2 linked regions of the Anolis sagrei genome follow. The protein of the gene in region 2 purifies or fractionates together with the protein of the main gene of each other region. This does not show direct contact. Links are inferred from orthologs where the notes say so. Each region holds a gene or a part of one and is shown on either strand. Other genes may lie near its edges.

The links. Proteins that work in one complex are often made in the same cells at the same time.
Region 1: the proteins of ATP11A (region 2) and TMEM30A purify together in Homo sapiens (co-immunoprecipitation; 4 studies listed by BioGRID and IntAct, with this or other methods). This does not show direct contact. The link is inferred for Anolis sagrei from reciprocal best matches to the Homo sapiens genes ATP11A and TMEM30A.

Annotation. Positions count from the first base shown.
Region 1 is NC_090021.1:110,955,845-110,963,401, forward strand, and holds the start of TMEM30A (cell cycle control protein 50A), read left to right. Parts: upstream 1-4,522; 5' UTR 4,523-4,676; coding exon 4,677-4,988; intron 4,989-7,557. UniProt on the Homo sapiens protein: Accessory component of a P4-ATPase flippase complex which catalyzes the hydrolysis of ATP coupled to the transport of aminophospholipids from the outer to the inner leaflet of various membranes and ensures the maintenance of asymmetric distribution of phospholipids.
Region 2 is NC_090023.1:108,981,899-108,989,060, reverse strand, and holds the start of ATP11A (phospholipid-transporting ATPase IH), read left to right. Parts: upstream 1-4,151; 5' UTR 4,152-4,231; coding exon 4,232-4,408; intron 4,409-7,162. UniProt on the Homo sapiens protein: Catalytic component of a P4-ATPase flippase complex which catalyzes the hydrolysis of ATP coupled to the transport of aminophospholipids, phosphatidylserines (PS) and phosphatidylethanolamines (PE), from the outer to the inner leaflet of the plasma membrane.

The sequences.
Region 1 (7,557 bases), on a different chromosome or scaffold from region 2:
GGGGGCTCCATACTGTAACATATTCATTTTAAAAATTAAAATCAGAATTTACATGGCAATCAGCTGGTGACAATGGAGAAGGGGAGAGTCCACTCATAGAGTGTTGAGAGCATGGAGTTAACTAGACAGCAGAAGAGCACAGAAAAGCACAATTATTACTTTCATAGGTAAGTCAGTATTTTTGTATAATTTAAAAAAAAATTCAGGCGCAAGAAAATTAACATCTAGTGAGAGCATATTCTTGTATTTTCTCACCAAATACATGCAATGAAATTGGACACTTAAAAGTTTCCCTGAATTCTCAATTCAATTTGTTCTTCTATTTTTCTCTTTCATGGATGCCATGTTCTTTGGAAGCTTGTTTAGAGCAAGTTAATGGCCTTTCAGGCTTCCTCCAAGGTCACAGGGGTTCGCTTTTTACATAATAAGAATTATGTGTCACCGGGGGGGGGGGGGGGGTGGTGATCAGGATTTTAGAGATGCTTAGGTGTAACATGGTAAAAAAAGGGGTTGGGAACCACTGGTCTAGACACTCTCTACTGGTGTTTTGCTTGCAGCTATGGCTGGCATCCTCAGAGCATATTTATTTATTTATTTAGGCTCGGAGAGGTTTACAATATACACATGTGATACATTACATATAAAATCAAGAAGAACTTCGATCAGCAAAATTCAAATGCCGCCCTAAAGAAATATTTGCCTGTATATGGCCTCCAGCTACAACAGCTACACGGCCATAGCATGTACTCGAGCTGAGAGTACTTCAACGGCCTAGCTGCCCGACCATAGCAACACCTATTGAATGACTCCTTGTGTCTTAATTGTATTACATCAAAACTAGAATGAAGTCCAAAGAAAATAGTGCACACATCTGAAACAATTATATCTTGTAAGCCTCTCTGAGTCCTGAGTCCCCTTCGGGGTGAGAAGGGTGGCATATAAATGTAGTAAATAAATAAATAAATAAGCAGCAGGACATGATACCCAAGCAAGAGCTGTCTACAACTATAGTAGCTACTGATGGGTGATCTCTCAGCTACCCCTCCTACCAGTCACTACATGGCTGTGAGGCAGCATAGGAAAAACTGACCAATTTTCAGAGATTCTTACACTGAGGAGAAACATACTTAAAGTCTTGTCAAAAGTATTGTTGAAGGCTTTCATGGCCGGAATCACTGGGGTGTTGTAGGTTTTTTCGGGCTTTGTGGCCATGGTCTAGAGGCATTCTCTCCTGACATTTCGCCTGCATCTATGGCAAGCATCCTCAGAGGTAGTGAGGTCTGTTGGAACTAGAAAAAATGGGTTTATATACATACTTAAAGTCCTTTTCTCCTTTATGGGAACCACAAACTTAAAGAAATACATTTCTAGTTGGTAGCTGCCACAGGATATTAGGCACGGATTGCAGTCACAAGCCATAGCAACGCATGCTCCTTTTTTTTGGATGTCTTTCCCTTGCATTTTCTGACCTGCATGATAAAGACAGGATCTTCAGCTTTTGGAGTTGTTTGTCCCATCTCAGCCCACGGGCAACAGCCACAGTGGATGATATTCCTTCTTATAGATTTGTGCTTCGAGGCTGATGAGCCCTGAGGGGCATGCAAGTACCGCTTTGGAAAGGGTGCACATGCGGGCCTCTTTCCACTGCCAAGAGAAGCATTTTGCCCTCAAGGGCTTGCATAATGTCACAGTGAATCGAATACCTGCCTAATTATGGTTCAGAGAAACCAGCATCTTCCCATCCAACAGAAATGATCAAAGGCTTGGAAACCAAGCCCTATGAGCAACGGCTGAGGGAGTTGGGTATGTTTAGCTTGAAGAAAAGCAAGGCTGAGAGGGGACATGATAGCCATGTCTAAATATTGAGGAAGGACAGTCTTGTTTTCTGATGCTCTGGAGATCAGGACACAGAGCAGTGGATTCAAATTGCAGAAAAAGTGACTCCACTTAAACATTAGGAAGAACTTCCTGTTGGTAAGAGCTGTTTGGCAGTAGAATATGCTGCCTTGGAGCTTGGTGGAGTCTTTCTCAGGAGGTTGTTAAGCAGAGCCTGGGTGGTCATCTGTTGGGAATGATTGTGTATTCCTGCGTGGTTGAATGAAGTTGGATGGGTGGCCCATGTGCTGTCTTGCAACTCTGTAGTTCTATGAACCTGTGAACCACAAGGTGGTTTCCACTTATAATGGCTACATTATGACACATGCAAAATAGTTGCGACTAGCATTGCACCAATCTTTGAAAGAAGATTGAAGGCTTTGAAAGGGTGCTTACATATTTAAACAGATTTTTAATTATTTTAATTGTTTTAAATCTTTATGGTACTATTCCATCTATTGATTCTTAATACTCTTACGTTTAATTCTATTTTAATGTTTACCATTATGTCTTTTCGGTTTTAGATTGTACATTTTAATGATATTTTTTATCATTGTTAATCTCTTTTAAGAGAGAAAAAGTGGGATATAAATGATAAATAAATGACAACAATCAAGATAAATAATAATAAAGACAAGCAACAATAATATAAACAAAAATACCTAAAATATAAAAATACAGATTATTTAAGAAGGGGTTTAATATTTTAATAATTAATAATTAACAATAATAACCATTGATGTTATTGTTTTTAGATATTTTAACTCTCTGGTATTTAATGCAGACGTTTACCAATTGTTATGTTATTTTAAGGCATTGAATAGTTGCCAATATGTGAGGCTGCTCTGAGTCCCCCTCGGGGTTGAGAAGGGCAGGGTACAAATCTATATAAATAAAAATGTAATGTTCGTTTTTGGTATTCACAGAACTCAAAAACCACTGGACGAATTGACACCAAATTTGGACGCAAGACATCTAACAACCCAATGTATGTCCTTCACTCAAAAAAAATTGATTTTGTCATTTGGGAGTTGTAGTTGCTGGGATTTATAGTTCATCCACAATCAAAGAGCACTCTGAACTCCACCAACGATGGAGTTGAACCAAACATGGCACACAAGACTCCCATGACCAACAGAAAACACTAGAAGGGTTTGGTGGGTATTGACCTTGAGTATTGGAGATGTAGTTCACCTACATCCAGAGAGCACTGTGGACTCAAACAGTGATGGATCTGGACCAAACTTGGCACGAATATTCCATATGCCCAAATATGAACACAGATGGAGTTTGGGGGAAATAGACCTTGACATTCGGGAGTTGTAGTTACTGGGATTTATATTTCACCTACAATCAAAGAGCATTCTGAACCCTACCAACGACAGATTTGGGGGAAACTTCCCACATAAGAACCCCCATGTCCAACAGAAAATACTTAAGTCCATCCAGTCCAACTCCCTTCACCAGGGCAAGAAAAAGTAATCAAAGCCCTCCTGACAAAGAGCCATCCAGCCATAGATATTGATAGATATGATTCACACACACAGAGATATAGTATCATAGATTTGAAAGGGACCCCTAAAGATTGACAATTATATGTTGCATGTTCCAGAGTAGGCAAACCAGACCCTCTCCACATCAACAATGACAAAGAAACAGCAAGAAATACTGATTACCCACAATGAGAACACTTTCGCATTACTTTATTTTCCAGATCACCAGACTGGGCCACAGTAACGTGTGGCTGGGGATGGCTAGTATGATAAATAAATAAATACATAAATAAATATATTTTAGGGCTGGGCTAAGATTTAAGGTCTAAGGCAACAGAGCGGTTTAACCCACTGCGTATATTTTAAGTTGTGATGTTTTTGATGGTGAGCCACTTTGAGTCTCTGTATGGAGAGATAAAGCAGGATATACATAAATAAAAAACCCTAATAATAATAATAATAATAATAATAATAATAATATCTTTATTGTATCCCGCTTTTCTTCCACCAAGGGACCCAAAGCGGCTTCCAACATCTTAAAACAGTACAAATCCAAGAAAAACGCATATAACGCCTAAATACCAAACCATAAAACAGCGCAGAAATAAGATTTTAAAACAATAATCCAGTGGTTCTCAACCTTGGGTCCCCAGATGTTTTTGGCCTACAACTCTCAGAAATCCCAGCCAGTTTACCAGCTGTTAGGATTTCTGGGAATTGTAGGCCAAAAACATCTGGGGACCCCAGGTTGAGAACCACTGCAATAATCAATAAATCTTAGCCGTGTTCAATTAAAATACGAATTCATCTCCAATTTTTTTCATATGAGGAGCGACTTGAGAAACTGTAAGTCGCTTCTGGTGTGAGAGAATTGTCCGTCTGCAAGGACGTTACCCGGATGTTTTGATGTTTGTGGGAGGCTTCTCTCGGGTCTCGCCTCCTTCCCAGTGCGCATGCGCGCAAGTGGCCCCGAGCGAATCCTCCTCCGAACGCCGCAGGGCGGGGTGAGCGAGGAGGAGTGGAACGTATCCTAGCGGCGAGCTAAGTAATAAAAGGAGACGACGCAGGGTCCTGGCAGCGTACTGCGCCTGCGCACGGCGTCGAGGGCTATGTGGGAGGTGTTGAGGAGCCCGGAAGGAGGGGAGGGCTGCTGCTGTTGCTGCTGTTTGGGCGTTGTTGGCGCAGGCGCAGTCGCGGCCCTTATACAGCGCGGCGCGCGCGGCGGGTGGCCAGTGTCAGTTGTCGCCGTTGCTGGCGGCGCTTCCTGTTCCGCCTCTCGCGCGGCCCTCCTCCCCCTCCCCCGCCTCCATGGCTATGAACTACAACGCGAAGGAGGAGGCGGCGGCGGCGGCAGCGGACGGGCACCCGTCGGGGATGGCTTCCATGCCCGGGGGGAGCGGCGGCGGCGGCGGGGGCTTGGGCGGCGCGGCCCGGTCCTCGGTGGGCGCCGCCAAGAGCCGCAAGCCGGACAACACGGCCTTCAAGCAGCAGCGCCTCCCGGCCTGGCAGCCCATCCTCACGGCCGGCACCGTCCTGCCCGCCTTCTTCGTCATCGGCCTCATCTTCATCCCCATCGGCATCGGCATCTTCGTCACCTCCAACAACATCCGCGAGTATGAGGTAAACAGCTCCCTGCCCGCGTCGCCCCTTGCTCGGCTCTGACGTTTGGTCCGCCACCTTGTTTGGACTTCAACTCCCAGAAGCCCCGGCTGGCTTGGCCAACGGCCAGGGACTCTGGGAGATAATAATAAGAATAATGAACCTTATTTCTACCCCGCCACCATCTCCCCAAGAGACTTGGAGCGGCTTACATGAGGCCAAGCCCAACAACACATCAATAAACCAAAAGCAATAAATACAATACAATTAATATAAATCACATATAATAATAATAATAATATTTATTTATTTATTTGATCAGCCATATGACCATTTCAAAATAGAACACGAGTAAAAAACAAGACAAATAAATACTAAATCACATATAAACAATAACACATAAGGATTTAAATACCTGTGGCCAGGTCAAATGTAAGAGTTAAAAAATTAAAAAAATAAGCGCTGGGCATGAACGAGGTAGGATATATCTGGTATAGGGTTTTAAAAGAGATGAGGGAGCGCAGTCAATCCTAAAGTGCACCCTGAGGACATATTTCTGGGAATTTTCCTTATTCTGGGAAGGCACACTGGAACAGCCACGTTTTCAGGCTCCTCCTAAAGACTGCCAATGTTAGGGCATGCCTGATGTCCTTGGGAAGTGAGTTCCAGATTCGGAGGGCCACCACCGAGAAGGCCCTCTCCCTTGTCCTCACCAATCGCGCCTGCGAAGGAGGCAGGGGTGCGAACAGGGCCTCTCCAGATGATCAAAGAGATTGTGTGGGTTCATACAAAGAAATGCGATGAAGTCCAACAGCTCTGGAAGGCCAAGGGTAAGAAAACCCTACATCATCGCTACTGTTAGCCACCTTCTCAGCCTCAGGTCCTTTCTTTTTTCTTCTGAGCTACTTAAGCCAAATTCCCAACCAGAGCACCATTCCACTTTCACTTATTGCACTCATAAATTATCTGAACACTTGGTCCCATATCCAAGTTTTCAGTTTTCCCCTTAAAAGAAAAGAGAGTTTTTCCCCTAAAGGAGAGAGGGGGCTAATATGATGTTACTAGGAAGGGAGTTACACAACCAAGGGGCTACCACTGAGAAGGCCCTGTCTCTCATGCCCAACAACTGCACCTACGGGGGAGGAGGGACCGAGAGCAGGACCTCCCCAGAGGATCTTAAGCTCTGAGATGGTTCATAGAGAGAGATATGTACATCAGAGCCCCTCCCCCAGCAACAATATAATATTATATAATAATATTATGAATGATGTATTAGTACTATACTAATAATATAGTATGTTGTATGTACATATGACTTGTAAGCCACTCTGAGTCCCCTTCGGGGTGAGAAGGGTGGCATATAAATGTCGTAAATAAATAAATAGGTAAGCTGGACCAAAACCATTTAGGGCTTTATAGGCTAAAGCAGTAGTTCTCAACCAATAGGTCCCAAGGTGTTTTGGCCTACAACTCCCAGAAATCCAAGCCAATTTACCAGCTGTTGGGATTTCTGGGAGTTGAAGGCCACAACATCTGGGGACCCATAGGTTGAGAACCACTGGTCTAAGGCCTCACTAAACTACAAAGCCCAGAATTCTGCAAAAGGCAGCAACAAAATTTCAAGTAGGGTGCACACGCTCTACCTCCCCAAACTAAGGTCCACGGCTGGATGTGACCCTCCAAGGTAATTTACTCAGCTCCCAGCCTTAGCATGACCCTAAATCTGAAACAACTGGAAGGCACTCAACAACAATGATCTTAATTAACTTGACTATCTCATCAGCTAGAAGCAGGCCCACACTTTCCATTGAAATACTGCCAATATGTGTTTGGGCTTGGCCCCATGTAAGCCGCCCTGGGTCCCTTCGGGGGGATGGAGGCGGGGTATAAAAATAAAGTTTTTCTTCGTTTTAAATATTTTATTGTCCTTTTTTTACACTACAAATAAAATAGTTCAGTGTGTATAGGAATTATTTCATGTTTTCTTCAAGTTTGAGGATCTCTGCTCAATACCTACTCATTAAAGTGTATCTCAGTAATGATGAGAAGATGAAAAATATACCCTTGAGTGCACCTATACTGACACCACTTGGACAGCCATAGCTCTATTCTATGGGATACTGGGAGTTGTAGTTTGGAGAAACAACAGGATTATTTGCCAGGGAAGGCCAAAGATCTTTGAAAGTACATCTTCCATAGCATTGAGGTGTGGCAGTGAAAGTGGTGTCAAACTGTGTCAATTCAATAGTGTAAGTGCACCTAGATTGTTGCTACTCTCCTCCACCATCTCTCTCCCCCTCCCCCCCCCCTTTCCAGGACTAAAAGCAACAAGTGAACAAGGACAAAGGGTGCCTCTACACTATAAAATGAATGCAGTTTGACACCACTTGAACTCAATGCTGTAATGTTCTGGGATTTGTAGATTAGTAAAGCGGCAGCAGCATATGGCCGAAGAGACTAAAGACCTTGTAAAACTACAGCTCTCATTCTATATAATTGTACCATGACAGTTAAAGTGCTGCCTTAGTCCAATCCTATGGAATTTAGGGATTTGTGGTTTTTCGACACTCTTTCGGCAAGGAGGCTAAAA
Region 2 (7,162 bases):
CCACCTGAAGAAACTACAAAAATTATCTTCTTTTTCACTTTTTTTTAACTATGGAAGAAAATTGTTATAATATTATACTTGAAGTTTGATTGTGTGTGTTGATCCCTCCAGGCTGAAGCCCTTGTGGGCTGAAAAAAAATCAGTATTTCTATCTTCCAGTAAAGGCTGACCAGTTAAAAAATCTTTACTCCAACATGCTGAGTTCATGACAGAGGTTGCATGGTGTAATTCAAAACAATGTGTATGAAGCATGAAACATATACAGGCAGTCACTGAGTTACAAACATCTGACTTACAAGCAACTCCTAGTTAAGAATGGGGGTGAGACAACAGGAAGTGAGAGAAATCTACCACTAGGAATGGAAGCTCACTCCTAGAAGAGTTATTATGGGGAAATGGTCTCTCCACTGAAGCTGTAGCACCAATCTTCATTTTCGCAACAAGCCAAATTGGTCAAAATCCAATTATCACAAGGACAGAAAGTGAGGTGAAATCTTCACAGTGAGCAAAACAAATACCACAGGATGTTAACCCTTCCCTATGATACCCAAAGCTATATACTGGAGTTACACTGAAAAAAGGTACCTGTTCCAATTTACAAGCAAATTCAATTTAAGAACAAACCTACAGAAATTGTCTTGTTTGCAACTTGGGGACTACCTGTACTGTGATCGTGAATGTATTTTCTGTCTGATATTTTCAAGCAGTATATATTTGCAATTAGTAAATAACTTATTTTCATCTGAGAATTATACCCAGTTTGGGATTGTGGCAGTTCGTTTTGTATTCTGCAGCTATTGTTGCATTTTATTGGCGTTCATTGGGGCGGGGGGGGGGTGATGTTTATGTTGGTTGTTGCTGCTTTGTTTTGCTACCTTTGAACTTTTTGTATATTGCGTGTTTGCACCTTTGAGTTCTTTGTGAGCCACCCCGAGTCATTCCGGGAGATGGTGGCGGGGTATAAATAACGTTGTTATCATCATCATCATCATCATCATTACATGGCCGGAATCACTGTGTTGTTGTGAGTTTTCCAGGCTTTATGGCCATGTTCCAAAAGCATTCTCTCCTGACGTTTCGCCCACATCTATGGCAAGCATCTTCCTAGGTTGTGAGGCCTGCTGGAAACTAGGCAAGTGAGGTTTATATATCATTTATTATATCTGTCAAGCAGAGTTCAACAGGCATGACTTCTTCCAGGAAAATAGGTAGTGAGGATAACAACCTTCAGGTCCATTGAATGAATGCAGTTTGACACCACTTTAACCGCCATGACTTATGGAGCCATGGGAGTTGTGGCTTGGTGAGGCACCGGTACTTGTGGGCAGAGAAGGTTAAAGACCTTGCAAAATGCAGCTCCCTTGGTGCCATAGTGGTTTGAGTTGTGTGAAACTGCATTAATTCTTCAGTCTACATCAAGTATGGACAAATCCAGGCCTGGAGTCCTTCCTTCCCTCTTTCCTTCCTTCCCTCTTTTCTTCCTCCCACCTTCCTTCCCTTCCACCCTTTTGTCCTTCCTTCCTTCCTTCCCTCTTTCCTCCCTCCCTCCTTCCTTCCCTCTCCTTCCTTCCCTTTTGTCCTTCCTTCTCTTTTTCCTCATTCTCTTCCCTCTTTCTTCCTCCCTCCATTCTCTTCCAGCCTTTTGTCCTTCCTTCCCTCTTTGCTCTTTCCTTCCTTCCATCCTTCTCTTCCTCCCTCCTTCCCTTCCACCCTCCTTTCTTTCCTTCCCTTTTGTCCTTCTGGATGGCCATCTGTTGGGGGTGTTTGAATGCAATTTTCCTGCTTCTTGGTAGCGGGTTGGACTGGATGATTCTATTATTCTTTCCTTCCTTCTTCCCTCTCCTGCTTTCTCTCCCTCTTTCTCCTTCCATCCTTCTCTTCCTCCATTCCTTCCTTTTTTCCTTCCATCCTTTCCTTCCACCCTTTCATCCTTCCTTCCCTTTTGTCCTTCTTTTGTCTCTCCCTCTTCCTCCTTCCATTCTTCCCTTCTTCCCTTTCCTCCTTCCTTCCATTTCTCTTTCCTTCTTCCCTTCCTTCCATCACTGCGCAGCCAGTCTTCTTAAGCAGGGAGTGCTAGCATGTGCCCCCCAAGTTAGAAGGTTTGCCCACGCCTGGTCTAGATGGACCCCTAGTCTCTCCCTCTGCGGAGCCTTGCCCGTGGCTCTGAGTCTGCGGAGGGGCCAAGGCACCTGCTGCCAGGGAAGGGCCCCGGGCGAGGGGGGCTTTGCTCTGCCTCTGCCCGCCCCTCTGCCGCCTTCTTTGGCCCCGAGCGGCACACCTGCCCTTCCCCTGAAGCCTCGCCTTCCGGAGTTCTGCCTCCTCGAAGCTCTGCGGGCAAAACAGCGGCAAGGCTTTAGGCAGGCGATTTTTCCAGACCCGTCTTGCTCACGCGACTCTCCACTAGCGCTATCGTAACACTCCAGCTGCCATGGCAACATCGAACGGCATGCAGGGGTTGAGAGAGAGAGAGAGAGAGAGAGAGAGAGAGAGAGAGAGAGAGAGCGCAACACACAAAAGGCTCTTCTTGTCAGGTCTCCCTTCCAGGGCGCGCTTCCCGCCAAAGCGCCCTTCCCCTTCTGCTCGGCCCGACTTCGCCCCCAAGGCCTTGCCCGGGAGGGGCTCATGAGGGGGAGGGGGAGGGGGAGGAGGAGGAAGTGGGGTGGAGGAAGGAAGGAAGGAAAAGGAGGGAGGGAAGGAAGGAGGGAAGACGGAAAGGAGGGAGGAAACAGGAAAGGGGGAGAAGGAAAGGAAGGAAGAAAGGAAGGAGGGGAAGAAGGAAAGGAAGAAATATAGGAAGGAAGGAAGGAAAATGAGGGAGAGAGGAAGCAGGAAAGGAAGGAAGGAAGAAGAGAAGGAAAGGAAGAAATGAATATAGGAAGAAAGGAAAAGATGGGAGGAAGGAAACAGGAAAGGAAGGAAGGAGGGAGAGAAGGAAAGGAAGAAATGAATATAGGAATGAAGGAAAGGGAGGGAGGAAACGGGAAAGGAAGGAAGAAGGAAAATGAGGGACTGAGGAAGAAGGGAAGGAAGAAAGAAAGAAAAGAGGCAAGGAAGGGAGGGGGAAACAGGAAAAGCGGAGAAGGAAAGGAAAGAAGAAATTAAGGAAAGGAAGGAAGAAGGGGAAGAAAGAAATGATGGAATATAGGAAAGAAGTGTGAGTAGAAGCAGGAAAGGAAGGAAGGAGGAACCAGGAAAGGGGGGAAATGGAAGAAAAGAGGGAATGAAGGAAAGGAATTAAGGAATATAAAAAGGTCAGAAAGGAAGGGAGGGAGCAATCAGGAAAGAAAGGAGGGAGGGAGGGAGGAAAGAAAGAAAGAAAGGAAAGAAGAAATGAGGGGAAGGAAAGGAATGAAGGCATAGAGGAAAGAAGGAAAGAAAGGGGAAGGAAGGAAGGAGGGGAAAAGGAAAGGAAGGAATATATAGGAAAGAAGGCATATAGGAAGGAGGGAGGAAACAGGAAAGAAGGAAGGCATATAGGAAGGAAGGAGGGAGGAAACAGGAAAGAAGGAAGGAAAGGGGGAAAAGGGAAGAAAGGGAAAAGGAAAGGAAGGAATATAGGAAGAAAAGAAAAGGAGGTAGGAAACAGGAAAGGAAGGAAGGAGGGAAGGAGGAAAGAGGGGAAGAAGGAAAGTAAGGAAGGGATATAGGAAGGGAGGAAAAGGAGGGAGGAAGCAGGAAGGGGGGGGGGGAGAAGGTAAGGAAAGGAATGAAAGAAGGAAGAGAGCAAAGGGGGTGTGTTGTGGTGACTGGGGGAAGCGGAGTGCGCATGCTCGCCGGAGCGGCGTGACGTGAGCGGGGTGGCTGAGCAGGGGAGGATCAAAGGGAGACGAACCCGAGGGACAGGCGAGGCGAGGCGGCCGAGCGGGAGGAGGAGGAGGAGGAGGAGGAGAGTAGCAGCAGGAGCAGGAGCCGTGCGGAGCGCCTCTTCCCGGGCGGCGGCGGCGGGCGAAGTTTCCCGGAGGAGAGCGGCTCCCCTTCCCCGCCCGTGGTCCCTCCCTGCTCCTCCGCTTCCTTGCTACTCTTGGGGGCGCACATGGGGAGGCGAGCGGGGCGCCCGCTGGACTGAGTGGCGGGGCGCGAAGCGAGGCGAGGCGGCGGACTCCTCGGAGGCAGCTCGGGGTGCAGGCGAGAGCGAGCGAGGGAGGGAGGGAGGGAGGGCGATGCTGCTGCTGCTGCTGCTGCTGCTCTCGCCTCCTCCTCGGCCGGCTCCTCCGCTCCTCCGGGGGCTGCCATGAGGCAGGAGGAGCCCTGCGTGGAAGCCAGCCCGGGAGACCCCGAGCGGAGCCAGTGGCGGCGGCGAGGAGGAGAAGGAGACGGAGACCGGGGAGACGGAGAAGGAGCTGCCCGCCGCCGCCGCCGCCCCGCCGCCATGGACTGCAGCCGCCTCAGGGCACTCATCCACAGATACGTAAGCCGCCCCTTTCTTTCCGCTTTCCTTTCACCCCAACGCGGCTTCGTCCCGCCACATCCCGGCCGGGTGGAAGGGGAGGAGGGAGGGAGGGAGGGAGGGCAGGCCCAGAGGCTGCGCCTGATCCACAGTTGACATCCCCGAGGAGCGGAGCGCAGCCTGCCCTCCCGCTCTCGCCTTCCTTGGGCGCCCCAGGAACAGTCCCGTGGGAGAGGGAGAGAGAGAGAGAGAGAGAGAGAGATCCCGTGGGACTGCAGGCGGGGATGCCTTGGGATGCTTTCCTCTGAGGCTGAGAGAGAGTGCCTCGCGCATGGCTCCACCAGGATGCCAACCCTAAAATCCTAGAGTTGGGAGAGACCTCGTGGGGCCATCCAGTCCAACTCCATCCTGCCAAGAAACGGGAGCGCACAACCTCTGAGGATGCCTGCCATAGATGCAGGCGAAACGTCAGGAGAGAATGTTTCTAGAACATAGCCATACAGCCACAAAACCTACAACAACCCAGCAAGAAAACCCCATTTAAACCACCCCCAACTCTCCCTTTTTGTGTCTTCCTCCAACACTCAGAGCCCTACACGACCCGAACTTAGTAAAGGTAAAGGTTTCCCTTGATATTAAGTTTAGTCGTGTTGGATTCTGGGGGATGGTGCTCATCTCCATTTCTAAGCCAAAGATCCGGCGTTTTCTGTAGACGCCTCCAAGGTCATGCAGCCGGCATGACTGCATGGAGCGCCGAAGTGGTCTCCATGCATGTTTTCAAAATTATTTATTTATTTTGTATCAAAAGCATCCCATAAGTTAGTATAAAACCGATAAAAATAGAAGGAGCACAGGTGGCTAAATATCTTTTGACCAAAAACGGGCAACAGCAGTGGCATTGTCTGTAGCCTCCAAGAATTCTTCCTCTGTACATGAGGCAGGGCATAGTGGACAAGCATACAGATGTGGAGTTGTCTGGTCTGCTCCGCAGTTGCATAAGGTGTGAGATTCTTTTAGGTCTTGCCATTTTGCCAGGTTGTCTTTTGATCTGCCCACTCCACTTCTGAGTCTGTTCAGGGACTTCCAAATTGCCCATTCTTGGTTTGCCCCTGGAGGAAGACTCTCGTGGGGGGCCATCCAGTTGGAATTTCCTGGTTCAGCTGTCCAGAGGGATACTCTTGCTGTTGCTGGGTTTCCAAACTGATAGGTTGGCAGAAGCTGGTGCTAACAGCGGGATCTCACCCCACTCCCTGGATTTGAACTGCCAACCTTTCACTCAGCAAGTTCGACAGCTCAGAGGTTTAACCCGCTGTGCCATTGGGGGCTCCTACCCGAACATATGCCCATATCATTACCTCGAAGGCTCCAGATCCTTTCTGATCTTGGGAGTTAAGCAGGGTCAGCCTGGGTTGGTGCTGGGATGCGAGGCACTATTTCAGAGGAAAGAACAGCCAAAGTCACCGCTGTTTTCCTTCCTTAAGGCATATAACTAAGTGTTAACAGTGGGTTGCTGTGAAGTTTCCAGGCTGTATGGCCATGTTCCAGAAGCATTTCCTTCGGACGTTTCGTCTGCATCTATGGCAGGCATCCTCAGAGGTTGTGAGGTATATTTTAACAGTATTCGTTTAGGACTTTAGGCATATGAGCGACAAGGTCCTTCATTACTCCAGGCCGGTCATCAATGCTTAAGGCAATCCTCTGGAATGTATAGGATTGCCATAAGTCCACAGGCAATTCGAAGGCACAATGCCTTTGTAGGTTTACTTTCACCTAGATAGTTTCATGTCAGATTTTATTTTCAGTCCTTCCTTTTTAAAAAAAACCATCTCTTGCTCCTGTCAGCAGCGCTTCCTCTTGCGGTCCCTTCTGTACTTTTTGCAGAAGGATGAAAAACATTTGAAGCAAATTGCACAGGCATGGCTGAGGGTGTGAAATAAACAGTTCATCTCAGAATATGACTGAACTTGCTGGAGTTTGTGGATGGAAAAATAATAGGCTAGCCAGGCATGGGCAAATTTTGGGCCCTCCAAGTGTTTTGGACCTCAACTCCCACCATTCCTAACAGCTTCAGGCCCTTTCTTTTTCCCCCTCAGCCACTTAAGCAGCTGAGGGGGAAAAGGAAGAGGCCCGAGGCTGTTAGGAATGGTGAGAGTTGAGGTCCAAAACACCCGGAGGGCCCAAATTTGCCCATGCTTGCCTAGCAGCACTCGGAATTACACTTCATGTGTTGTTGCTGATGGTTTCTCCTGGTTGTTATTGTGTGCCTTCAAGTCATTTCTGGCTTAACATGATCCTTCTCAGGGTGTTTTGGGGGAACTAAAGAGTGTGACCCGCCCCGTGGTTTTCCATGGGCAAGCAGGGAATCAAGCCAGAGTCAAAGTAAACCACTACATCGTCCTGATTCAGTGGTTTCTTCAATCCCTGTAAATTGTGAATTAAGGAAACCATCTCAGTAGTTGTGGAAAATGTGCAGCAATACTAGGTGCACATCCTAGATTCAGGCTAGGTGGATAGCTTTCAAAGGCCATCGTTTTATCCTAAAAGCAGGTGCATGTCCCAGTGAAGCATAATTCTGAGAGAAAATATTTTTGAGTGACTACTTAAGGTAATGGATGCAGTTGTTGTTGTTTGCCTTAGATGAACCTGCCATGGAGTTTTCTTGGCAAGATCTATTCCGAGTGGGTTTGCCATTGCCTTCATAATGGAAGCTAGTCCAATTTAAAGATATTACGATGTGGGTTTAAGCCTCCCTCCCTAGACACACATAGCGGCAAA